Pelodiscus sinensis: one gene and its partners. The protein of the gene in region 1 interacts with the protein of each later gene in a pairwise test. Links are inferred from orthologs where the notes say so. Each region holds a gene or a part of one and is shown in the gene's direction. Other genes may lie near its edges.

Region 1 (7,883 bases):
GCACGACCAGCAGGTGCAGGCGGACAGCAGAGCAGCTGGTGGGGACGACCTGTGGCCGGTAGGAGCGGCAGCAGCCAGCCAGTGGAGCAGCTGCAAGAGCAACCAGCTGGCGGCCAGGGGCGTGGACCGAGACGGCTGGCAGAGCCAGACAGTTCGTGGGACAGCTGAGGCGGCTCACTGGACGACAGGTGGAGTGTGGTGGAGTGACTCGCGTTGATGGTGGCGGCAGAACCTTACGGAGAGGCAGAGCCATCGGCGGACCACGTAAGGTGTGTCAATCCCCACCCCTCCAGGTTGGGATGGTAAAACTCAGCCAGGTGAACTTTTGAACCCTGGGGCAGCACTGACCCGGGGCAGAGACTTTTGGGGTGTTGGACTTTGGGTGATTTTTTTGGGTTGCTGGACTTAAGAGACTCTTTGGGTGTTGGACTTTTGGGACTTTGGGTGATTTGGGGCTGGGAGAAGGGTCTCTGCTCATGTTTGGTCTATGAATCTGAGTTGTGGTGTTTTCCCAAGTTAATGCTGATGTTGGTTACCTCATGTTATTAAAGGTTTGCTGCTATACTGAGGCTCTGTGCTTGCGAGAGGGGAAGAACTGCCTCTTTGAGGCGCCCAGAGATGTATGTAAGATTTCCCAGGTCACTAGGTGGGGACTTGAGCTGGTGTTGTATTACCTTGTTGGGATGAGACCCCTAGATACTGAACCCAGCCCTCGCTGCTATTAATTCGGCCTGGCAAAAGGGTTACACTAATATCTATCATTAGCCCCAATAAAAACATAATACATTGCTTCTCTTTCCCAGTTCTCCCAAATACTGTACTTGTTTTTAATTATCTTTAATGACATGACCATTTCATTAATTTTAATGAAATTCACACAGGCTTTCCCAGTCATCTTAATACATCATATTTCATAGTGCTAACCTGTTATAGGATACAATGCACAATTGTCTTTCATACAAACTGCATCCCACAAAGCTTCTTAAATAACGAGAGCCAGAGGCTCCCTAAAGTTAGGATATAGTTACAAAGTCCAAGTAAAAAAATATTACTGAAAGATACGGAAATGAATAATCAAAGACAAGGAAGGAAAGATATATTCTAGAAGAAATCTGAAAATTGGAGAAGATTGATGGAGCAGAAGAATACAGAAACCTTTTGCTTCTAGGATAATTTATGAATATCTGTGTTATATCAGCTGTCAAATTATGCAAATTGCAGATAAACAAATATCAAGTTGCTATTTAAATAATGTGCAGATTCAAAGCCCTAGGAAAAAAAATTACAAAACCCATGAATTGCATGTGCAATTTTTTAAATGATTTTTTCCTACATTTTACTAAAAAGATGATGGTATAGATTCTCCTTATCCCCTGGTCATGTATAAATACACAACATCAACATAATTGGATGTACACATAGACCTGTATCTATTCCCAGTAAAGTCAATAGCAAAAGTGCATTTACTTCAATGGAAGCAGGTTCTAGTGAATCATAGAATCCCAGGGCTGGAAGAAACCTCAGGAGGTCATTGAGTCCAGTTCCCTGCCCAAAGCAGAACCAATTCCAACTAAATTATCCCAGCCAGGACTTCGTCAAGCTGGGACTTAAAAACCACTAGGATGGAGATTCAACCACCTCATCCAGGTCACTAATAAAGATGTTGAATAAAACAATTCCTAGAACCGATCGTTGAGGCACTCCGCTAGAAACCGACTGCCACCCTGACATTGAGCCGTTGATCACTACCCATTGGGCCCGACAGTCTATCCAACTTTTTATCCATCTTACTATCTGTTTATCCAATCCATACTGCCTTAACTTGCTGGCAAGAATATTGTGGGAGACCGTATCAAAAGCTTTGCTAAAGTATCATAAGGTTACAATGATTTAAATCAACAAACTGTATTGGTCTGTATCCCACAATCCTCTGTAACCAATAAAGTAATTTGTTAATAAAAAGGAACAAACAGGAGGGTGGAACAGATGCTAGATAGAAGCACTACTGGTATTGTGCAGGGGTAATTTGCAGTTGCTGTAATGTGAGGTTACTGCTGGTCCTATTTTTTTCTTGACTTATTCATATGAGTTGTCCCATTGCTTCCAATTAAACTACACATACAACTAAGACAAGTAGAACTGGCCCTGCAAAGCACCTATTATTCATATTCTGTGTTACTATTCTTAGGTAGTTATTCTGGCAAGGTGCCTGTTAATGTGGAAGACTGGAAAAAATAAAGTACTCAGTGAAGCTCACCTACAAAAATAATGGTTCCAGAAGAAAAGTTGCAGACATAGTATTAAGTCCTTATGAGTAAATATTTTCCTGTCATTCCATATCCAGTTTTACAGAGACCAAATATTCTGGGGAAAACACCACCACCAATTCAATAATACTTCATGCTTCGAGTATTTCATGAGAAAATGCTATGTTTCATACATATCTTTTTGTTTAGAAAAATTTACATTTCAGTTTTAATATTTATGGTTTAGACTACACAAAGCATTTGGTTTTATCTATTTGAGGAAAATTTGTCATATATTTTGCCTTTCTTCCATTTTAGAAAGGGACATTGATTCTTTTGACCACAAAGTTCACCTTAAAATCTGATCTGATACTTTATTCCCCTCCCTCCATTTCTCTTTTTGTAAAGGGCATCTTTATTTGTAAATTGTTTCTATTAAAGAAAATGAGAGAAAATCAAGTTGTTGCTTACTGTTCAAAATCACTCCATCTACCTTTTCATAAGTGTGACATTTTGTTCAAATCCAATATGACACACAGTATGGCTTTTGGGATACACCTTTACCACTGCTTTCTGCTCTCACAGCTAACAGGCAAAAGTAAAAGTATTTAAAGATTACTTTAAATCGTTCCATCTACTGATCACATTCTGGATACAAGTATTTTTAGTGTTTACTTCTTCTTTATGACAAAAAATCACATCAGAAAACCTCAGCCATAGCAAAACAAGTTCACATTTGTGCAAGATTTAGGACTGCTGTGCAACAGTGAACATTCTTAATTTTCCAATAGCTTTTTGTTGAGTCTGACATTTTAAAGTCAAAAAACAAAACACAAAATAATTTACTGTTTGTTCTCCTTTATGAGGTATGATAGCCGAATAAGTACTTTTGGGAGGCAGAAGTTGGCTTTTTTGTTTCTTTAACTCATGTCTTCCTTACATCTTTTTCCTAGAAGACTCTGGGAAAATGAGAGAGCTGGAAATGAGAGAGCTGTTTCACGCAGTGATTCCAAGTCCTCAAAAAACAGTTCTGTCCTCCAGTTTAAAAAATAAGTAAGTCACATCATGATACTGTAGTTTAAATTTTCCTTTTGATCACAATGGTGCAATGAATCCCACTGACATCAGGATTGTATCATTTTAATTGAGAAGAAAATTTTGCTGTTTTTTAGCAGAAAAGAAGCTACTACAGAGTTCAAATTACTATAAACATTAAAAACAAAAACAAATAAAAGCCCACTATCAAGAGGTCAGTTTATTATATATATTAAAAACTAACAAACATAACCCCACTATGAAAAGGTCAATTTATTCTAAATATTACAAACAATAACAAAAAAAACCAGGTGCTTTCTTTTTTGTGATATCTGTACAAATAAGATTGTAAATTCTGTGGGTGGAGACTTTAATAAAATCTTGTATCTGTGAAGTATTATGCACATCTTGGACATTTTCTAGTAAGGTTTTATACTGTTACCCATCACTGAAATATGTGAATGTCTTCCATTTAAAATCAATAGCAATACTGAAAACCTGATTAGAATGTATGATGTCTCTGAGTCATCTCCTTTTTTGGGGGATCTGCTTGGGGGTATGGTTTTTGTTTAGATTTTTTTAAAGAAACAATTAAATTCCTCTTTTGAATGTTTTGATTAGCAGATGTTTAGGAATCAAAGAGATGGAAGTGCTGTGAGTGTCATTCTTGTGGCTGAGAGTCTATTTTTAAAGAGGAAATAATTTATTCTTCTATCATTACTTTGAAAATGAAAAATGGGATCAGACAGCATGTGTTGAACATGCTTTTCCTTGCCAGCATAGACCTAGATATGTTAAAATCACTTTAGGTCCATTTACTAGGTTGGTTTCCAACTGTGGCCTTGTCTTCAGTGGAAAACTAGCCATTATCCTGAAGCCATTTTTTACAAAAGAGTTTCACAAAATCCTGCAAAACCCCAACAAAGAGGTTGTGTTAGCCAGTGCTAGTTCATGTCGAGATGGGTGATGGAGAACTTTTTTTTTTAAATGATACTCTGGAGTATTATTTAACCAGACGCTGTTTACAAGGGTGGAATATGAATCCAATGTATAGGTCTTTACAAAACAGATGCAATTACCTGGCTAGATGGGCATGTCTCTGCATAGCTACCTCTTTCAATGCAAGCTCTAAACATGACAGAGGATAGCATATCCAAATGTAAAATGTAAATCTCCTTCCCTCATTTTCTCTGGCTGCCTTAACATGTCTGTTAGCATGTTCTGCAAATGATAAAACAACGACGAAAGAAGAACCCTCGTTTATACGAAATGACAATTGCTCTAATTCTGCTCCGGGAGGCTATGGGGGGAGGAAGGCTGCACAGGATCTGGGCTGCGCGGGCTGTAAAGCCCTTGGCATCGTATCGATCTGGACAGCTGAGTTTGTCTGCAAAGCCTCCGGCGCCCTATGGCTTTCTAGCCAGGGCGTCTGGATCCCCAAGGGCAGCCCGCGGGTGGGCAGGGCACGGAGAGGCCCGCTGTTCCGCACGCCCTGCAGGCAGCCCGCGGGGGAGAGGCCACGCGCGGAGGGGAGGCACCTCACTCCAAGCGGCTACTTTTCCGCCACCTCGCTAGCGCTGCTACTGTGCGTCTCTGCGGCTGCCTCCGCAGCTCCTCCTCCCGGGGCTCTGGGTGTCGCTGGGCCGGGTGTCTCCAGAGGAGGGCCTTGCCCGGATGTACTACACTGACTCATAATCCAATCGACACAGGCAGCGAGACACACACACTCGCTGCGCTGAGCTGCGCCCGCTTCACTCTCCGCCTCCCGTCCCCGACAGCAGCGGCAGGGCTGGCCGGGCCCCGGAACGCGCGCAGCCCTCCCCCTGCCGCCGCCTGCCCAGGGGCTGCTCCTGCCGCCGGCCGGCCGGCTCGCTGCCGCAGCCGCCCCGCCCCAGGACCCTGCTGCTCCCGCCTGTCCCCCCCCGGCCGCTGGACTGAGGCGCAGGCGGCAGCTGCCCCTAGCAGGACCCAGAGAGCGGCTCCCCTCCCGGCAGGAGCATGGGTAAGTCGCCTTCCTTCAGCCCCCCCAAAGTTATGCCCTATGCGCCCTGTGCTGCAGCACCCGGGAGGCGGGAGGGCCTGGGCCCCGTGATGCCCAAGCAAGTCCGCGGCTCCTCTTCCCATCCCCCTTCCCCGCTCCCTGGCTTCCGTGCGGCTCCCTGTTTTGCATCCTCTCCCCCGTCGCACTGCTCCTGTTTCTCCCAAGGCCGGCCCCTTCCTCCCCCTCCCTCTGTGGCGGGCCGGTGGGAGGAGGAGGAGGTGGAGGAAGACGACTTCATGCAACTTCCTCAGCCGCTCTGGTGTTTCCCCTGGCGGCCGAGGAGGCTCAGGGTGCAGTTTGCTTTGGCAAGGGCTGTGCATGCTCGGCAGGGAATGCGGGGACTGGGATGGGGAGCCATCTCCACCCAGCCTGGGGGTGAACCAGGCGAGTGAAAACACACCAGTCCCTGCAGGAGGCAGCGACTTGCTCCATGCTGGACTAGCGGGGGGTTTACAGGGTGTGTTTTTCCTGGGCTGAGCTCCGTCTTTTGATCACTTCAGGGATAGAGAAAGGGGTGAGGTAGCAGGAAGCTGAAAATAGTCAGGGCACCTTATTTCTGAACTTAAATCAGCGGGTTTCCTTCTGTTCTGAAATGACAGTGCAAAGTTTCTGCAGGCTCGTGTGATACTGCCAGTTCAACCGTCCTGCTGGCCTTAGGTAGGCTGAATGTCAATTTTAATAAAGGCAATGCACTCAAATATAAGTTGCCTTACAGTTTATGGATACAGATTTCTTAGGTGGAAATCAAATTCTCTAAGTATCAAAAGGAGATTTGGAGCAAGTAGTCAAATAGTTCATTCAACAGACTGAGTTTCGCCTCTTCTGTTTGTGTCCTAGACAGCTGGATAATACATTACATAGACTACTTATGTTCCAGTCTTACCTCTGGTGTTCCTCTGCATGGAACCACAAAGATCTTCATTTTTACCCTGCCCCATGATTTTTAAATCACCACGTGTCTTGTGAAGAACTGCAGTCATGTTATCTGGCTGTTAATTCCAAAATCTTATTTGCTAATGGAGACCTCCAAAACAAACACACAATGAGCTAGAAAGGAGTGCTTTCTTATAGCCCAATGGTATGAGTGCTGAGGACACTATAATATACCTCATTGGGTTTCATCAGGAATTAAAGACAAAGCATCTCTCCCATAGAGGCAATGATAGTGCACTCTAATAGTTTAAATGCAGGCTAAGAAGTCAGCAATTCCTGAAGTCATAATCCTAGATCTGACACTTACTTCTGCTGCTGCCTTAGATGAGTAACTGGTTTCTTTTGAGCCCATATACATCTTTTTGCCATTTAGTAAATGAAGATTTCCATAGATAGTAACAAACTCTATATTTTAGTTTCCTTGTCTGTAAAACAAGGATATTGCTTACCGGCCTTTCAGGGCAGTTGTGAAGATTGTCACTTTTATAAAGTGTTTGGAGGAAGAAACCCTCAGAAGCAGGTACTGAACTTTTTCTTGGACATTGTGATAGGGTTCTAGAAGTCTCCCATTTAGTTGAGATGAAAGGACAACTCCTTGACAACTAACTAGGAGATATTTAAGGACACTGGTCATTCCTACTTTTGTGATCAATGTCATAATCAAATTGCTAGTACAGAATGAATGCTGCATTGTACTCTACAAAAGGTTCCATTCCAGTGGTGGGTGAGTTTGTAAATTGCTCATGAAATCTTTCTAGCCAAAATTATTACATTAGCAGAGATAAGATGACTAGGAGGGTTTCCATTCAGTGTCTGTCAAGGATGCTCCTTAATTGTCCAATGCTTGTCTGTATTTCCGCAGTGTTGATTTCCCGGTAAATCAATCTCCCCGGGTTCAATTTAGGGGCTCTAGTACATAAATCAATCACTGATGGCGCCCCCATCGACTCTGGTACTCTACGGAATCTTAAGGAGTAAGGGGCGTTGACGAGAGACAATCTCCCACAGTGGAGATGCCATGGAAACTGGACCTAAGGTATGTCGACTCCAGCTACCCTATCATATAGCTGGAGTTGTGTATCTTAGGTCAACTTTTTTCTTTAGTGTAGACCTGACCTGTCCAGAGAGATTACTGTTGACTAATACAAGAAATGCCCTGCTCTTATTTTTCCCCATCCCTGCACGCATCTGGACCGTATTCTTCTGCCATTTAGGCCAGTGGCCAACTTATAACCTCCTCTGTAGCAGCTCTTGTTGTTCTGAAGAGCCAGTGACCACAAACAGAATCTTCCCACAGCCAGCTAGAGGTTTTCTGTTAATTTTTTTTAATAGCAAACATGACAACTTTGAATGTTTAGAGTCTCTTGATTTTGTGAGCTTAATCATTGTAGTTGCTGTCCCTGCTCAGCTCCAGCATGCTCTCCTACTTTTATTTGTGCAATGCATAACTATTGGAAAGCCTCAGAAAGTAAGTATTGAGGATGAATTTTTGCAACACTAAAAATATCTTCTTCAAGCTGCTATTAACTTGGTAAATCATACTTAAAAATCAAGTATTTGCGGCAAAGAGAACTCAGAGTGTTTCATGATTTAACATACTGAATATTCTACACTTAATAAGCAGGTCA
Region 2 (7,776 bases), on another chromosome or scaffold:
ATTAATGTTGCCTGGTGTATTACCGTTTTCACAACTGTATCCTATTCCGGATCACACATTGCATGAGGCAACAGCAATCCCTTGATCCTTTTCAGCATTGCTACCACTTAGCCCAGGGGTGGGCAATAACTTTTGATGGGGGCCTCTCCAAGAATTTGGTAAGTGGTCAAAGGCTGCACTTTTCCATTGTATTAATGGAGGATGTACAGGATTTGGGATGGAGGTTGGGTGCAGAAGAGAGCTTAGGGTTAAGGGATTGGGATGCAGGGGGGAGTTTGGGAGGAGGAGGAGGTTGTGACCTAGGTCAGAAGACGGGTATGGCTGCAGGAGAAGATTTTGACCTGGATGAGGCGTGTAAGGGGGTGCAAGAATATGGGTAAAGGCACAAGAGTACAGAGGGGGTGGGCTACATTTAGTATGAGTTCAGAGAGGTGGTGGAGGGAGGGGCTGGGATGTAAGAAGCAGGCTCTGGCCAGGAGGCACTTACCTGTGTGGCTCCTGGCCAGCAGCCCTGCCCAGAAGGTTCATCAGCCAGCTGGGGGCCAGATGTGCTGCTCTGAATGCTGTGAGCCCAGGGGGAGGGAGCGGGGGTATGTCACAAGCCTTTGGTCTAGCAAATAGGCAGCTCCCACTGGATGGTTTCGGCCAATAAGAGCTATAAGGTTATGTGGGGGCAGGAGCAGCATTCCAAGCCTTTCTCCTCCCCTGGGCTCCCAGGGTTTGTTCAGAAAATACTTTGTACTTGGATCTTTTGAATGTAATGATGTAATTGGATCTCTTTAAGTTCAGAACCTCTCATTTGTCAAGGTTTGGAATACCCCTCCTAGCTTGGTGTCACCTGCAAATGTTATAAACATACTGTCCACTCCAGTCTCCAAGTCCTCAGTGAAAATACTAAATGAAAGCAGATGGAGGACTGACTTCTGCAGGGCTCAGTTTAGTGGAACAGTGACTCATTAACTACTCCTGAGCATAATCTTTCAACCAGTTGTACATCTGCCTTCTAGTAATTTGATCTAGATCATATTTTCCTAATTTTGTTTATGCTAATATCGTGCAGCAGTGTCAAATGGCTTACTAAAATCCAAAAGGAGGCTGGGATGCAGCTTGCCAGACCTTAACTGCTATTCCCTGCAGGAGAGGGCTGAAAATCAAGTAAGCACTGCATAGACATGAAGAGAAGTCCTCAAACTGGTAAACTCTCTTCGGGGTGGAGGGAGCATATCTAGATCACCTTCAAACACCAGGGCTGTGGCACCCTCAGAGATTGACCCAGAGCCATCTGCCTGCCACTTTTGCCATTAGTCCAGGGATCCGTGAGCCAGATGCTGACAGACAGCATGGCAGTTGTGCATTATGACAAGAAGGAGCAGGCCATCTCCACTGGTATTGAGAGATGAGGCAAGATACATGATTGATCATGTTAGCCCAGGCTTTAGTTGGGCAGTTCTGGCATTAAGACCCTAGTCAGCTTTTTACCATAGCCCCATCACCTCGCTGGCCTTGCCAACAGTCTTGGGAAACAGTGGTCAGATCTCTGAAGTTGAGAATATTCTGCTTCCGAACAGGAAAGCCTTAACTAGACTGGCTTGTAAAATAACTTCACAATTGGGGCTTCCCAGCCCACCGCCTCCTGTTGCCCTTGACTGTTCATTTCAGCACAAGTGGGTGGACTGCTAGCTAGCCCTGATATTGCAAAGTATTTCTGGTTCCATCTTGCAGCCGTATCTGCACGTCGTCCTCCTATCTGGGGACACCCTGTGCTTTGCCAACCTGCAAAGCCTAGTTTATTTTAAACTTGCATCTTTCTGTCCCCCATGGTCTCTCCCTTGAGGACTGCCCCTATTTCTAAAATCTGTAGAATAAGTACATGGAGCTCGGTCCACTCACTTACAATATGCTGTTCCTTAGGACAGGCCTCCAAATGGGATGGGTGCTTTGACAGGGCTGTCCTACAGCTCTTTGCTAAGCAGGAGTCCGACTGCTCACTGCTAAGGAAACACAATTTTTGGTTTGTCTGCCTGAATGCCACTTTTGGTGACTCAGTCTCTGAGAAGTGTTTCTTACTGTGCTGTAACTGGCTCTTATGTCTTGTCCACGTGGGTTCCCAACACATTGTCCTGCTCCGCTATTGTGGAGTCCGATTCCTCTGGGATTCTGTAGTGTTGAAGGAATTGGGGATGCTTGTGCCTGCTTGGCTCTGTATTTGACATGGGGATGTGAGAACATTAGGGTGCAGTAGTGGCCTCAGTAGACTGCTGGCTAAAAGAATCTGATCCTGTTTGCATTGGCCACATATGCACCAAGAGCGGAATGGGTGTGGTCAACCAATCCCAGGTTGCATTACTGTATATTGCTAAATGCTGATTAAGGCAAAATTGTTTGTAACTTGTTCATTTAAATGTAAAATCAAGACTTTGAGTCTTGCTGTGTTTGCCACAAGCCACTCAAGCTGCTGATCCAGGAAGAACTTCACCGAGTGCCCACTTTGGTCTAACGTAGAATTAATCCAAATTTGGAAGTGGATAGGTAGCTACTACCTCAGCTGGCAGGTGATGCTGTCTCTAAGGCTGTCTACACTGCGGGTGTTTTGTGGAGGAGGAAATGCAAATGGAGTGCTCATTTGCATATATTTCGATCCTTTTTGCAGAAGAGGTTTTTGCGAGTAAAAATCCCTGTGTGGATGGGGCCATTTGTCAGGGGAAAAAACCCTTTTGCGCAAGAGCCTTTATTCTTCAAAAAAAGGCTCTTGCGCAAAAGGGTTTTTTTCTGACAAATGGCCCCATCTACACAGGGCTTTTTAATTGCAATAACTTCTGCAAAAAGGATTTGAAGATATGCAAATGAGAGCATGAGTGTGCAAATGAGTGCTCCATTTGCATTTCTTCTGCAGAACACCCACAGTGTACATGGAGCCTAAGAGTGACACACAGATTGCGAGGCAGAAAAATGTACTTTCCTGCAACATTTAAAATTCCTCTAGAGAAATTGTGTTCTAATGAGAATTTATTCTCAATAATACACCTAGGAGAAAGGGGAAAGAGCTGGAGCCTCAGCTCACTACATTTCCTTAGAACTTTTGTTAGCAGGGAGACATGTAGGGGAGCCCAGTATGCTCAATTCTCACCCTGGGAGGTCTTTAGAGTGGATTCTTCAAAGTTCAAGGCAATGGTATAGAATATAGTGGCTAGGTAAAACAGAGTGTGTGTGCATAGGGAACCATGGGAGCTTGGTGCTGCTTCTTAGGATTTCTGAAGAGCCAGTTTAGCCCCCCAATACCAACAGGGTATCCTGTTAGAAACAACATGAAGAGTGGCCTACACATGGAGAAATTGAGAGAATGGTATATATCCATCTGTTAACCATACCCATTACTTCACATTGCAGTTGCCTAATGCTGTTTTATGTCATTACAGGGATTTGTTGCAGAGAGAAAGATTCGTCAAGCTGGTGTTATTGACTAGCAGAACCATAAAGCACATAACTAAGTAGGATGATGCGATGGGAGCTGGTGAAGGGTACTGAATATCTCCCTATTCATCCCTTCCAAATTCTAAGAAGCTATTATACCAGTTTAACACCTTCCTCATGTTATGTTTAAAAAATAAATTTATGAAACCATTTTAAAATTATGCACAGTTGCATCCTGGAGACTTAAGGTGGCGCCTTATAGTATCACTTGTTAGACGCTTTTTGAATGGTGCATTTAACGCAACTGGTAACTGCAAATCTACATTGCCTATGTAAGTGAACATTATAGACAGTTCTACTGCGGTAGACCTTATGAAATTCTGCACTAAAAGGATGTATACTCTATCCTCATTATTTCTGCCAAGGTGTTACTATGCCTTAGCTCTCAGTTGCATTATCTTCCCCTCCATGTGGGAGGCTCACTTCAAGTTCAGCTTGAATTTGAAGGACCATATGAGGGTGGACTAGATAAACTTTTTTATATAAATCTGTATGAGCATTCAGATAACTTTTTAAGTTGACGGCCAAATGTTACATATGTTTTCATATCTCATTTAAACTTGAGTCCATGTAGCAAAGTTCTGTTAAAGCTCAGTGAAAGTACCTTCCAGAGTAGTAGATCTGTTTTGTAACTCTGCAATTAGTAGGCACAGTGCAGAATTTCAGAAGGATGAGGTGTGCCATCTGTGTGGTAACTTAAATATATAAAACAATGCACAGATTTTGCTGCTGCTTAGAACTCTGCAGCTTCTAAACCCAGTTTCTTTTACTGATTTAAATTTAAAAATTGTGCCTGAAGTGAATACATTTTTCTTTTTGCAGCCAGCACCCAGTGTACTGTAAAAGAATAAATACTTAGGCTTTCCATAGCTGTATTGAGACTTTCATCAAGGTGAAATAGTTGATGTCTGTGTGCTCTTTTTCTCCCCCCCTCCCCCCCATTCTTCCCCAGTCACACTTTATCAAGCAAGAAAACTGAATGATTGGTCTAAGTATTACTTTAACCAAAAAGATCAGGAGTTATTTTCTTGGAATAGAGGGCAGTCCTGTGGTTTGTTTTTCGGTTTTTTCATATGACCTCTATTCTCAGTTTAGGGTTTTTCTTCTCTGGGAGATGCATTATCTTTGTGAAACAAACATTTGCTTTCTCCGATTTCTGTTAATGGCAAAGAATGGAAATAGAATAAAGTTTTACTGATTTTGAAAAACGCCTCCCGCTTGGTGCCTCCCCCCGCGCGCAGCGCAAGCTCAGACGGGGGCCGGGCCCGGCTCCTTCCGGCGGGGGGGATGGGGGGGGGGGGCGGAAGGCGGAAGGCCGGTCCCGGGCCGGGCCGGGGCCATGACCGAGTACAAGCTGGTGGTGGTGGGGGCCGGGGGCGTGGGCAAGAGCGCGCTGACCATCCAGCTCATCCAGAACCACTTCGTGGACGAGTACGACCCCACCATCGAGGTGAGGGGCGGCCCTGAACTGCGCCCCCCCGGCCCGCGGGGCCTCCCTCTGCCGACGGGCCCGGCTCGCCCCTGCAGGGACGGTCCGCGCTGCACGGAGCCCCCCGCCGGCACCGCCTGGCTGCTCCCCTAGGCCCCCGCAGCGATTGACGTGGGGCTCTGAGCAGCGGACCCGAGTGGCTGGGCTGCTGCAGGAGGGCGCCGCCTCGCGGATCCTGCCGGGCTGCGGGCTGGGACCGGCCTAGGGCACAGCTACTCGGCACGTGGCCCCGGGGGGCTCAATCCGGGCCCGCGAGGCCCCTCCCAGCGGGGTGAGCACTGGCAGAGGGCACAGGGTGTCGCGTTTCTAGTCCCTGGGCAGAAGGTGCCAGGAGCGCCAGGACTTTGTGGGACGTGCTGGCTGCTTAGCCTTGTGGGCAGAGCCTGAGAGATGCCGACTGGCTCGCACTGGCCACGGTTGGGTCCAGCGCTTGCACGTAAGGCTTAATCTTTGCACTCGTGCCCGTCAGTGTGAAAGAAGCTATTTGCATATATATTTGCATGTACATGCAACCACACTTAAGTTGTGGCTCCCAGCATGTGCTGTGAGTGTCACTGTGGCCCCCGGGGCTCCAAAGTTGAGTAGCCCTGACCTAAGGTAAAGTTGACTTCTGGCCAGAGCCTGCTTCCTGTGCCTCAGCCCCTCCCACTTGCTAACTCCATTCCCCAGGTCATCACCCAAATCCTCTGCACACACATCCTGCCCCAGGTCACAATTCCCTCCCAGATCCTGCACCCCAATCCCCTGTCCCCAGCTCCCTTCTGCACCCAACCTCCATTCCAAACCCCACAGCCCCTCCATAGAAAAGTGCAGCCCCTTGATCACTTTCCAAAATCTTGGCCTAGTACCCCCATCAAAAAGTATTGCCCACCCCTGCCCTACAGCAGCAGTGGGGTAGGAGGCAGCATTTTGCTTTTCCAGAGGTGAATGGCCTTTCTCACATGTCCATTAAGGTCTCTAGCAATATGCCCTGCACTCCAAATGTTTACTTACAACGTTTGAGGGAGCAGAGCAAGCTGTGGAACTGCGGCCAGCTTTACGCTGTGCACTAGGAAATGCCTCCTGAATAGAGGCAGAGGTAAGGTGCAGCAGCAGCCGTAGCACCAAGTCTTGTCTTAGTTTTCGAAGTTGTGTTTGTATCTCCCTCAGGATTCCTACCGGAAGCAGGTAGTTATTGATGGTGAGACCTGCTTGCTAGACATTCTGGATACTGCAGGGCAGGAGGAGTACAGCGCTATGCGGGACCAGTACATGAGAACTGGCGAAGGCTTCCTCTGTGTCTTTGCCATTAATAACAGCAAATCATTTGCCGATATCAATCTCTACAGGTACGTTTTGCACTTTGGGAGAAAGCCTTTCTTAGGTTTATTTTGGAGAGAGAAGGCTGGAAGGGTGCAATCTTCAACTGGCATTGAGCATATTCACCCACGCAGTTAGTGGAGACCAAACAAGCAAGACAATCAGTCATCTTCACATAAGTGCTGCAGAAATGCCATCCAGCACACTGAGCTTCAGAATATCTTGTGAAGTCCCACTCAGAGTATGAGTGGCGCACAGTGGTCCTTGTGCAGAACAAATCGCTTGTGTGCACCAATATGGAGATCAAGGAGATTGGAGAACAGGAGAGGGCTCAGGGTGGGACAGCGGGGGTGAGAGCTCTGACTGGGAGTGCAGGCTCTGGGGTGGAGCTGGGGATGCTGGCTTTGGGTTTGTGGGGCCAGCTGCCCTTGGGAAAGAGGGCTACCCCCAGCCCAAAGATCCATCTAGCCCAGTAGCCTGTCTGCCGACAGTGGCCAGCACCGGATGGACCGAAGTCAATGATCAAGCGATTTGTCTCCTGCCATCCCTCTCCAGCCTCTGACAGACAGACGCCAGGGACACCATTTTATCCCCTGGCTAATAGCCTTTTGTGGACCTAACCTCCATGAAATTATCTAGCTTCTCTGTAAACTCTGTTATAGTCCTAGCCTTCACAGCCTCCTCTGGCAAGGCTGGCGTGGGGCTGGGGCTCCCCCAGCTACAGCAAGTTCAGGGTAGGTCCGTGCTGGAGTCAGCGGGGAGAGGTGCCTCTCCCCACTATAGCCCTGAGCCCCTGCACAGGGCTTAACAAGCAGCTGCACAGCTTAGAGGGAATTTGAGTGCTTCATAAATAGTCAGCAAGTGGAGACTGGAATAGCCACCAAGATATTGTTGAAGATGCAGTAATGGTTCAGTGGCATGGAATACAGGATACACCTCGCATAGTAGCGAAGGGGGTGCACATCAGGGTGAATCCACAGATGGGCCACGTTTCTGCTAAGATGCACGCCTGCACAACCATGCACAACAAAATTCTTCTCTGCCCACCGCCTCAGGAGAGCCACGCAGCCGGAGGGGCTGGCTAAGATGATGTGGTGAGAGTGCCGCTGGGGTAGGGGACCAGGACCTGCTGTGGCGGGGGTTGGCCTGCTCCAGTGGCCAGGGCTGCCATGTGGCAGGGGGTACCAGGGCCTGTTCTGGTGGCTGGGCTGGGAACGGGACATGCCGCATGGCGGGCTCGGTGTCTGCTCCAGCAGCCGGGAATGGGACATGCTGCAGGGCCAGGTGGGGTCTGCTCCAGCAACTGGGAACATGTGTATTAATAAATTGGGTGCCACGGTGGCACACATCCAAGCCAGCACACGCAACCTCAGTATTGGCGCACAAGCCACAACTCTCCGCTCACGGTTGGAAATCTGAGAGGAAACACTGCTGGTGGGGTAAGGAGAGTGGATTAGGGACTAAGCTCTGTGAGGGCCTTTCCAGCCCTAATGTCTACTTTGTAATAAAGTGTCAGT
Region 3 (6,940 bases), on another chromosome or scaffold:
TGCTCTGCAAGTTTTTGCGCAAGAACACGTGTTCTTGCGCAAAAAGCCTGCAGTGTAGACGTAGCCGAATTTTTTTTATTATTAATAGTACAGCAGGTTAGAGGTTCCAAGTAGGGGCCCATTGTCCTAGGAACCTTATGAATATATGAGAGTGTCCCTGCTCCAAAGAGCTTATGGTCTACTCTCCTTGTTATTAATACCTTATGTAGTTTTTAAACCACCTTCTTGCTCTCTATTTGCCTACAGCTGGCCTCTCCACTGATCCCTTCACCTGATCTAGACTTGCTTTGTGCATTTCCTCCCTCAGTTGCTCCTGCTGCCTGGAATGGCCTTTCACTGGCTCCCCAACTCTTTCCCCATACTCTTGTCCCTCAAAGGGGTGCCCTCCGCACTTAGTTGGGCAAGGGGTCATGCCTGGTAGGTAGCTTCAAAACAGGCCCCTCTTTGTAATAATGCAGTACAAGTTGGACCTCTCTGGTCCAGCATCCTTGGGACCTGACCAGTCCCGGACAAGGGAGTTTGCCGGGCCAAGGGAGGTCTGGGAGAGGAGGGTGCTAGCCTCCCTGCTGGGCTCCTCTCCCCTACCTCCCTGTCCCGTGAACTGCAGCAGCCCTGCCAACCCACCAGAACTCGCAGCAGCCCCACCGCCCTGCTGGAGCTCGCGGCAGCCCTGCTAGAACTCATGGGGGCCCCCAACTCCCCGCTGGAGGCCGCAGTGACCCCGCCAGAGCTTGTTTACATATACTGCTCCTTGAGTTCCTCCCACTCCCTTCCGTCCCTCCCCGCTTCCCTGCCCCGCCAGCTGCAAGCTCTGGTGTCCCAGGGGATCTGCTGACGCAGGCTCTGCTCTTAGCCACCAGCAACCTCTGCTGCTGGGGCTCTCTAGTCCTGCAACATCCATGGTCCTTCAGGAGACCAGAGAGTCCTGGACCACAGAGGTTCAACCTGTATTTTCCTTTTAGCTCCAGTGCTTGCATATCTTTGTTTTCCTGGTCTTTCTTCAGTCTGGCTGCCGTGACTCAGCAATCCCAGCAGCTGTTCCTGACCACAGGAGTCTGGCAACACTGTATGCTTCTTCGTGGGATCCACAAGGGTGCCCGCATCATGAGCTGTTGGCTCAACATTACGAAGAGGCTTTCCCCAGGTTTCTCCCAAACAGAAGGACAGTTCCTTCTTCTTAGCAACACAGCCCAAAGGCAGAGTAAATAAAACAGCATCCGTTCAGAAGGCTGCTTAATGGAAGGAAATGGGATGTTGCAGACCAGAAAACTAGGCATCAGAAGACCTAAGTTCTGTTCCCAGCTCTGACACTGACTTCTTGCATAGGATGGGGCATGTCACTCACACTTCCCTGATCCGGTAGGGATATGATGAGGCTGAAGAAGTCAAAGTCTGTGATGTTCATGGGAGGGGCTACAGAAATGCTCATTGCAGCGCTGCACTTGGTTGCTAGATATTGTATTTGCACTTTAGAGCTCAAAGCTATCGGAGAGAGCAGTAACTTGAGATCCTAGGGTAGGGCTCAGCCTTTATTAGCAGACAGGTTGCTTCTTAACCTGAAGGACAGGCTCTTTCTAAGCCCCCCAGTCACAGGATGCAATATGTGCACACAGTGCACATACCATACAGACTCAGTAGGCGGCCATAACTCAGCACAGTGCATGCTGAGAACAGTGTTGTGATGGCCAAGAGCACAACATGGTTTAAAAAAGATCTAGATAAATTCATGGAGGGGAGGTCAGTCTATTAGCCTCTGTCTGCCTGAAGCTGGGAACAGGTGACAGTGGATGAATCACTTGATGATTCCCTTTTCTGTTCATTCCCTCTGGGACACCTGGCATTGGCCATTGTCAAAAGTCAAAACTACTAGGCTAGATGGACCCAGTGTGGACTGGCCTGATCCCACATGACAGTTCTTATCCTTAAGCCTGCCCCACATCACCACTGCCAGCTAGGGATTTCCTCCCAAGTTCCCTCAACCTGTTCTGCTTGATGATAAGAGTTTAACTGGTTAACCAATGAGCCACTAGTTAAACTCCTGGCCACCCTGGGGAGCCTGCGGGTCTAGAGGCACCACATGCAGGGCCAGCAGTGCCAGCGGCCTCTGGGAGCCCAGAGGGTTAAGCTCACAGAAGCGTTTAACCATGTAACTGATTGAATTTCAGTCGATTACATGGTAAGGCTACATCTACACTGCACGCTTTTTGCGCAAGAACGGTTTTGCACAAGAGTTCTTGTGCAAAAGGTCTTGCACAAGAGCACTTGTGCAAAAGGTCTTGAACAAGAGCACGTCCACACTGCCATGTGCTTTTGCGCAAGAGATGTGCTTTTGCACAAGAGCGTCCATGGCAGTGTGGATGCTCTCTTGTGCAAGAAAGCTCTGTTGGCCGTTTTAGCCACAGGGGTTTCTTGTGCAAGAAAGCCCTGCTGCCCGTCCACACTGCCTTCTTGCGCAAGAGGGCTTATTCCTCGTGGGGTAAGGAATAACTCTGGTGCAAGAAGCCCTCTGTTCCGATGCTGTACTGTAAATTTACTTGCACAAGAATGTGTGTGCAGTGTAGACGCTCTGCCAGTTTTGACGCAAGAACACAAAAAGCCTGCAGTGTACACACAGCCTTACTGTTTTAATTTTTGTTTGTTTGTTTTTTTACAATTCTACTTGGCGGCATGATATCGTCTCAGGGAAGCGGTGGACACCCCATATCTCAGGACTTTCAAAGCCAAATTGGACAAAGCACCAGGAGATATACAGTATTGTGGGAAACAAGCCTGCCCAGGCCTGAGCATGCTGTGCCTGTCTGTCTCCTGTCCATCCTAGTGGCATGGGGGCCTGGCCGCTAGTGGCTGTCACTGACCTATTATCCCCACTTCAAAGAGAATCCTCTGAACTGTCATTCATGCTTAAATTCGACACTTTACATGCAAATTTGAATAAAGACGCTAATTATCTTACCCATTACAAAGATAGCTTCCCCAATTATCACCTCTAATATCATTAGCTCACAGACATTTACCTCCCCCTCTTCCCCCCCATCCCCCTTCTGTTCTGAAATTTGATTTGTCCTTTTCATATGTGTTCATTTTTGTTAATTGTACCCTTTGGTATATATGGTTGTGACAATTTTCTTCCACTATTTGATCTGAGGAAGTGGGTCTGGCCCACGAAAGCTCATCACCTAATAAACCATCTTGTTAGTCTTTAAAGTGCTACATTGTCCTGTTTTTTGTTTCAGCTGCACCAGACTAACAGGGCTACATTTCTATCACTATTCTATTATCCCCACACACTGAGCTCTCTCCCCGATGGGCTGCTGCCTGGGGCAGCGCCTGTCTGCTCAGCGCCCCCCCTGGGCTGAGGGCTGCTCTCCCCTCCCCAAAGCCCTGGGCAGGCGGGCGTGCAAGCGCGTGTCTTTCCCGAGCCGCACGAGGCCACCAGCGCAGCCTCTGCTAATGAGCTGAAGCGCCACTAAAAATAGACCAGGCTGCCTGGGAAGGTCCCGGCGGAGCCTGGTTCCAGCTGCTTCTGCGGGCCATGCCCCCCACGGCTCCTAGACAGCCCTGCCCGGGCCTGTCCCGCTGCAAGCCCCCCATGCAGCGCTCGCAGAGGGGGGGCCAGGGAAGCAAGCCCCGCTGTGGGAACAGGGCTACCAGCCTGACCCGCTCCCGGCGCCTGCAAAACAACCAGCCTGTCGGAATGAACCAGAGCTGCCCCTCCTTTGCATCCTGGGGGCTGTAGTTCCGGCGTGGATTACCCTGCCTAGGCAGCCCGCCGGCTGCAAACTACAACTCCCAGCGTGCTGTGCGAGCCGAGCTCCAGCCGGGAGGGGGGCGGGGTGCGCGTTCCTGTCTCGGGGGGGTCACCCGGCTGGCCCCCGCGTCACAGAGGCAGGGGTTCTAGCGGCGGCGCGCGACAGGGTCCTGCTTATCTCCAGGTAAAGGATGCGCCGAGCTGGGTGCTGTGGGGGTAGGGTGCGCGCACCATACTGCTATGCTGGCTGTAAGTGTGCCCGGATGGCATGGGATTTGTTTGGCACCAGCAGGTGGGGGCGGAGGGTTAGCAGGTGGGTTGTGCACAGGAGTTTCCCGTGCCCGGCGTCAGCACGTGTGTCCAGTGAAATTTGCACATCAGAGGGATGTTTCCACCCCAGGACAGTCAACAGGTGATGTGTCTCGAGGGAGGGAGGCAGGCAACCCCAAGCGCTGGCCAGGGCGGGGTATGATTTAGAGATGCGTGTGGCTGTTTTGTAAGGCTGTACGAGGAAGCATGTATAGCTGTGGTGGGGGATTTATGAACTGTGTGTATTTGTACATAAACACTGAAATATGTGACACTACTTGGGGTGTTCCTTTGGCTCCCAGACTGTAGAGAATGTTCATACCTACATACTGATGGAAAAAAGTCTCAGAGGGGTAGCCGTGTGAGTCTGCAACTTTTAAAAACAAATAGTCCTTTGGCACCTTAAAGACTAACCTATAACATATTCTCTTCGTATATATCGTGTGCTTTCATGGGCAAAACCCACTTCTTCAGATGTGCTTGAGTGGAGAAAACTGGTGGTTAGTAAAATCTCTTATTTACCCCTCCAAAAGGACTGAAAATGTGGTGTGCTTCAAAGAAGCGGGTATATTCCTATCTGTTACCCCCACTGTTTGCCTGTTGCAGCCAGCAGGGTGGTTAAGCTCCAGAACAAACTGCCAACAGAGGTTATGGAATCTGTCACTGGAGGTTTATAAGAACAGGTTACACAAACACTTGTCAGGAATGCTCTAGTTATTACATAGTCCTGCCATGAGTGCAAGGGACTGGATTAGATTACCTCTCCAGGTCCTTTCCAATGCTACACTTCTATGATTCTATGGGTTTTATGCATTAATGCCTTATTAAGCTCTAGTCAAAACTAATTTTCACTGTTCTGCATCAGTTGTTTGCTTGTCTCCAATCACTATGGAAAATAACCAATGCCTTTGGGAGTTATTGCCTGTGTTTGCAGGTATGTTCTGGATTTCTCCATTTACATACACAGGAGAGCTGCTAATCCCTAAATCCCAATACAATTAATGGTGCAAAAAAAGGTAGCTGAAATTTTTCCCCTCCTCAATTCGTATGACACAGATAATTAAATACTGCCGCTCTCTGATCCAGATTAGCTCTTAAAAAGACCAAAAAGACTTTGAAAATAAAGTTGATAGGAGAAACCCGTGTGTGGGAAACGCCGTAATTAAAATGAGCAGCTTCGGGGAAAAATGCTTATTGGAATGGGGATGACAAGAATCTGATGTGGTTGTTAATTTTGACTCCCTGCTTTTGATGTCCTTGCCTTGATAGGTTTGGTAAGGCGTTTTAAAATAATGGCGCTGATGAAGAGCGGCTGGCTTTGGAGACAAAGTAAGTTCAGAATGTAATTTAGTAATGTCATGCCAAAAAAAAGGTCTCTCTACAAGTGGGGAGGGTTGCATTGGACTGGCTTTTCCTGGCTGTGTTCTCTTTGTTGGAGGGATTTGGGGACAGCTTTTTTCTTCACACACTTTGGGTCGCAGGCTGACAGGGCCAGCCTTAGGGAAGATGGTGCCCTACGTGAACTGGTGTTTTGATGCTCCTAACCCCTGTGGACATAGCACCACCCAGTTCCCCTGGCACCCAGTGGCTCCCCAACATGGCGCCTCCCTCCCATGCTCTCTTAATTACTAACTTCATTGTGCCTCCATTACCCCCTAACCTCCACAGTACCTCCTTCATCCCAACCCCTGCACTTGTCTCCCACCCATACCCTTAACCCAGGCCCTGCACTTCCAGCATGCCTCGTCACACTGTCTTCCTGTCTAGTACCCTCAACCCCTTTTACCTAGCAACACACATGCCCAGTTGTCCCTCACCCTCTGGCTATGGTGCCCTGGGTATGGGCTCAGTTTGCCCAGCCCTAAGGCTGGCCCTGCTGGTTGATATGCTTATCATGTGCACAGCCTGGATCCTGAGCGCTTAAACATTGCCAGGTAACTCTCTGGCCACAGGATAGTGCAGGACTGGGATCTTAGCGTTTCCCTAAGTACATAAGAACCTGATAGCAGACAATCCTGTCTCTGTTGATAGAGATCTCCTAAAATATATGTTCTAGTCCAATCACAAGTTACTGGGCTCAGTGTATGAATTATTGAGAGTAATTGGTCTGTGTTATGCAAGAGTCAAGCTAGATGGCCCCATCTGGCCTTACAAATCTGGGCTCGTCTTTCTGTTTGGACATGTGACTTCCCAGACTGCATTATGCTTCCTGAACAGCAGTGACATGAAGGCTATGCCTGGGGTGCCCTTCTGCACCTGTCACACGAATTCTGATTGCTCTGGGCCTGGAAATTACTGCAACAGCACAAGGCTGCCACAAGCACAAGCTAATTAATGGCTTTGTTGACATTACTTCATGGTAAGAATCTCTGGGCTCGATTTTGTCCCCTTATTTGCATTTGGTGATTGAATTCTTCACCCTAGTCAATGAGACTCCTTGGGCAAGTAATTCATCATTTCAGGTGAATCAAGGGTTAACAGGCAGGCCTCAGAGTAGGTTTTGCTGTCCCTCCTAGCAGCCTGCTCTGTGATAGCTGAGTATGTGACAAATTTGCTGTGATTGCTGATTTGGGGCAGGTTTTATTTTTAAAGCTCCCACTAGGGGCCCAGATTAAAACTTTTTGGCTTTCCCTATTTGAACTATATTGTGCCGGATTCACCTCTGCTGTGCTTTGTGCAATCACATACCACTAGGTGTGAAACAGCCTTTCTGATCTGGCAGCACCTTCCATTCATTTTTTCCCAGCTGTAAAGGGGAAAAGCAGTGGAGAATCAGACTCTGAGTGCCCCCAAGTGCCCTGGGGTCTTTAAATACAGAAGCAAAGATGAACAGGACTGTGCCCCAAAGAGCTTACAGTAAAAGCAGACATGAGGAAGACCAAA

What was found.
Region 2: the proteins of RAP1GDS1 (region 1) and NRAS interact in binary tests that used the Homo sapiens proteins (3 or more experiments, as listed by UniProt). The link is inferred for Pelodiscus sinensis from reciprocal best matches to the Homo sapiens genes RAP1GDS1 and NRAS.
Region 3: the proteins of RAP1GDS1 (region 1) and PLEKHB1 interact in binary tests that used the Homo sapiens proteins (3 or more experiments, as listed by UniProt). The two-hybrid records come from large-scale screens. The link is inferred for Pelodiscus sinensis from reciprocal best matches to the Homo sapiens genes RAP1GDS1 and PLEKHB1.

What each region holds. Positions count from the first base shown.
Region 1 is NC_134715.1:22,177,851-22,185,733, forward strand, and holds the start of RAP1GDS1 (rap1 GTPase-GDP dissociation stimulator 1), read left to right. Parts: upstream 1-4,866; 5' UTR 4,867-5,279; coding exon 5,280-5,283; intron 5,284-7,883. UniProt on the Homo sapiens protein: Acts as a GEF (guanine nucleotide exchange factor) for the Rho family of small GTP-binding proteins (G proteins) that stimulates the dissociation of GDP to enable subsequent binding of GTP.
Region 2 is NC_134737.1:648,889-656,664, forward strand, and holds the start of NRAS (GTPase NRas), read left to right. Parts: upstream 1-4,760; 5' UTR 4,761-4,810; coding exon 4,811-4,921; intron 4,922-6,109; coding exon 6,110-6,288; intron 6,289-7,776. Other genes in the region: CSDE1 (cold shock domain-containing protein E1), read left to right, coding at 3,417-3,464. UniProt on the Homo sapiens protein: Ras proteins bind GDP/GTP and possess intrinsic GTPase activity.
Region 3 is NC_134711.1:321,731,460-321,738,399, forward strand, and holds the start of PLEKHB1 (pleckstrin homology domain-containing family B member 1), read left to right. Parts: upstream 1-3,924; 5' UTR 3,925-3,939; coding exon 3,940-3,997; intron 3,998-4,075; exon of another isoform or gene 4,076-4,160; intron 4,161-5,326; coding exon 5,327-5,386; intron 5,387-6,940.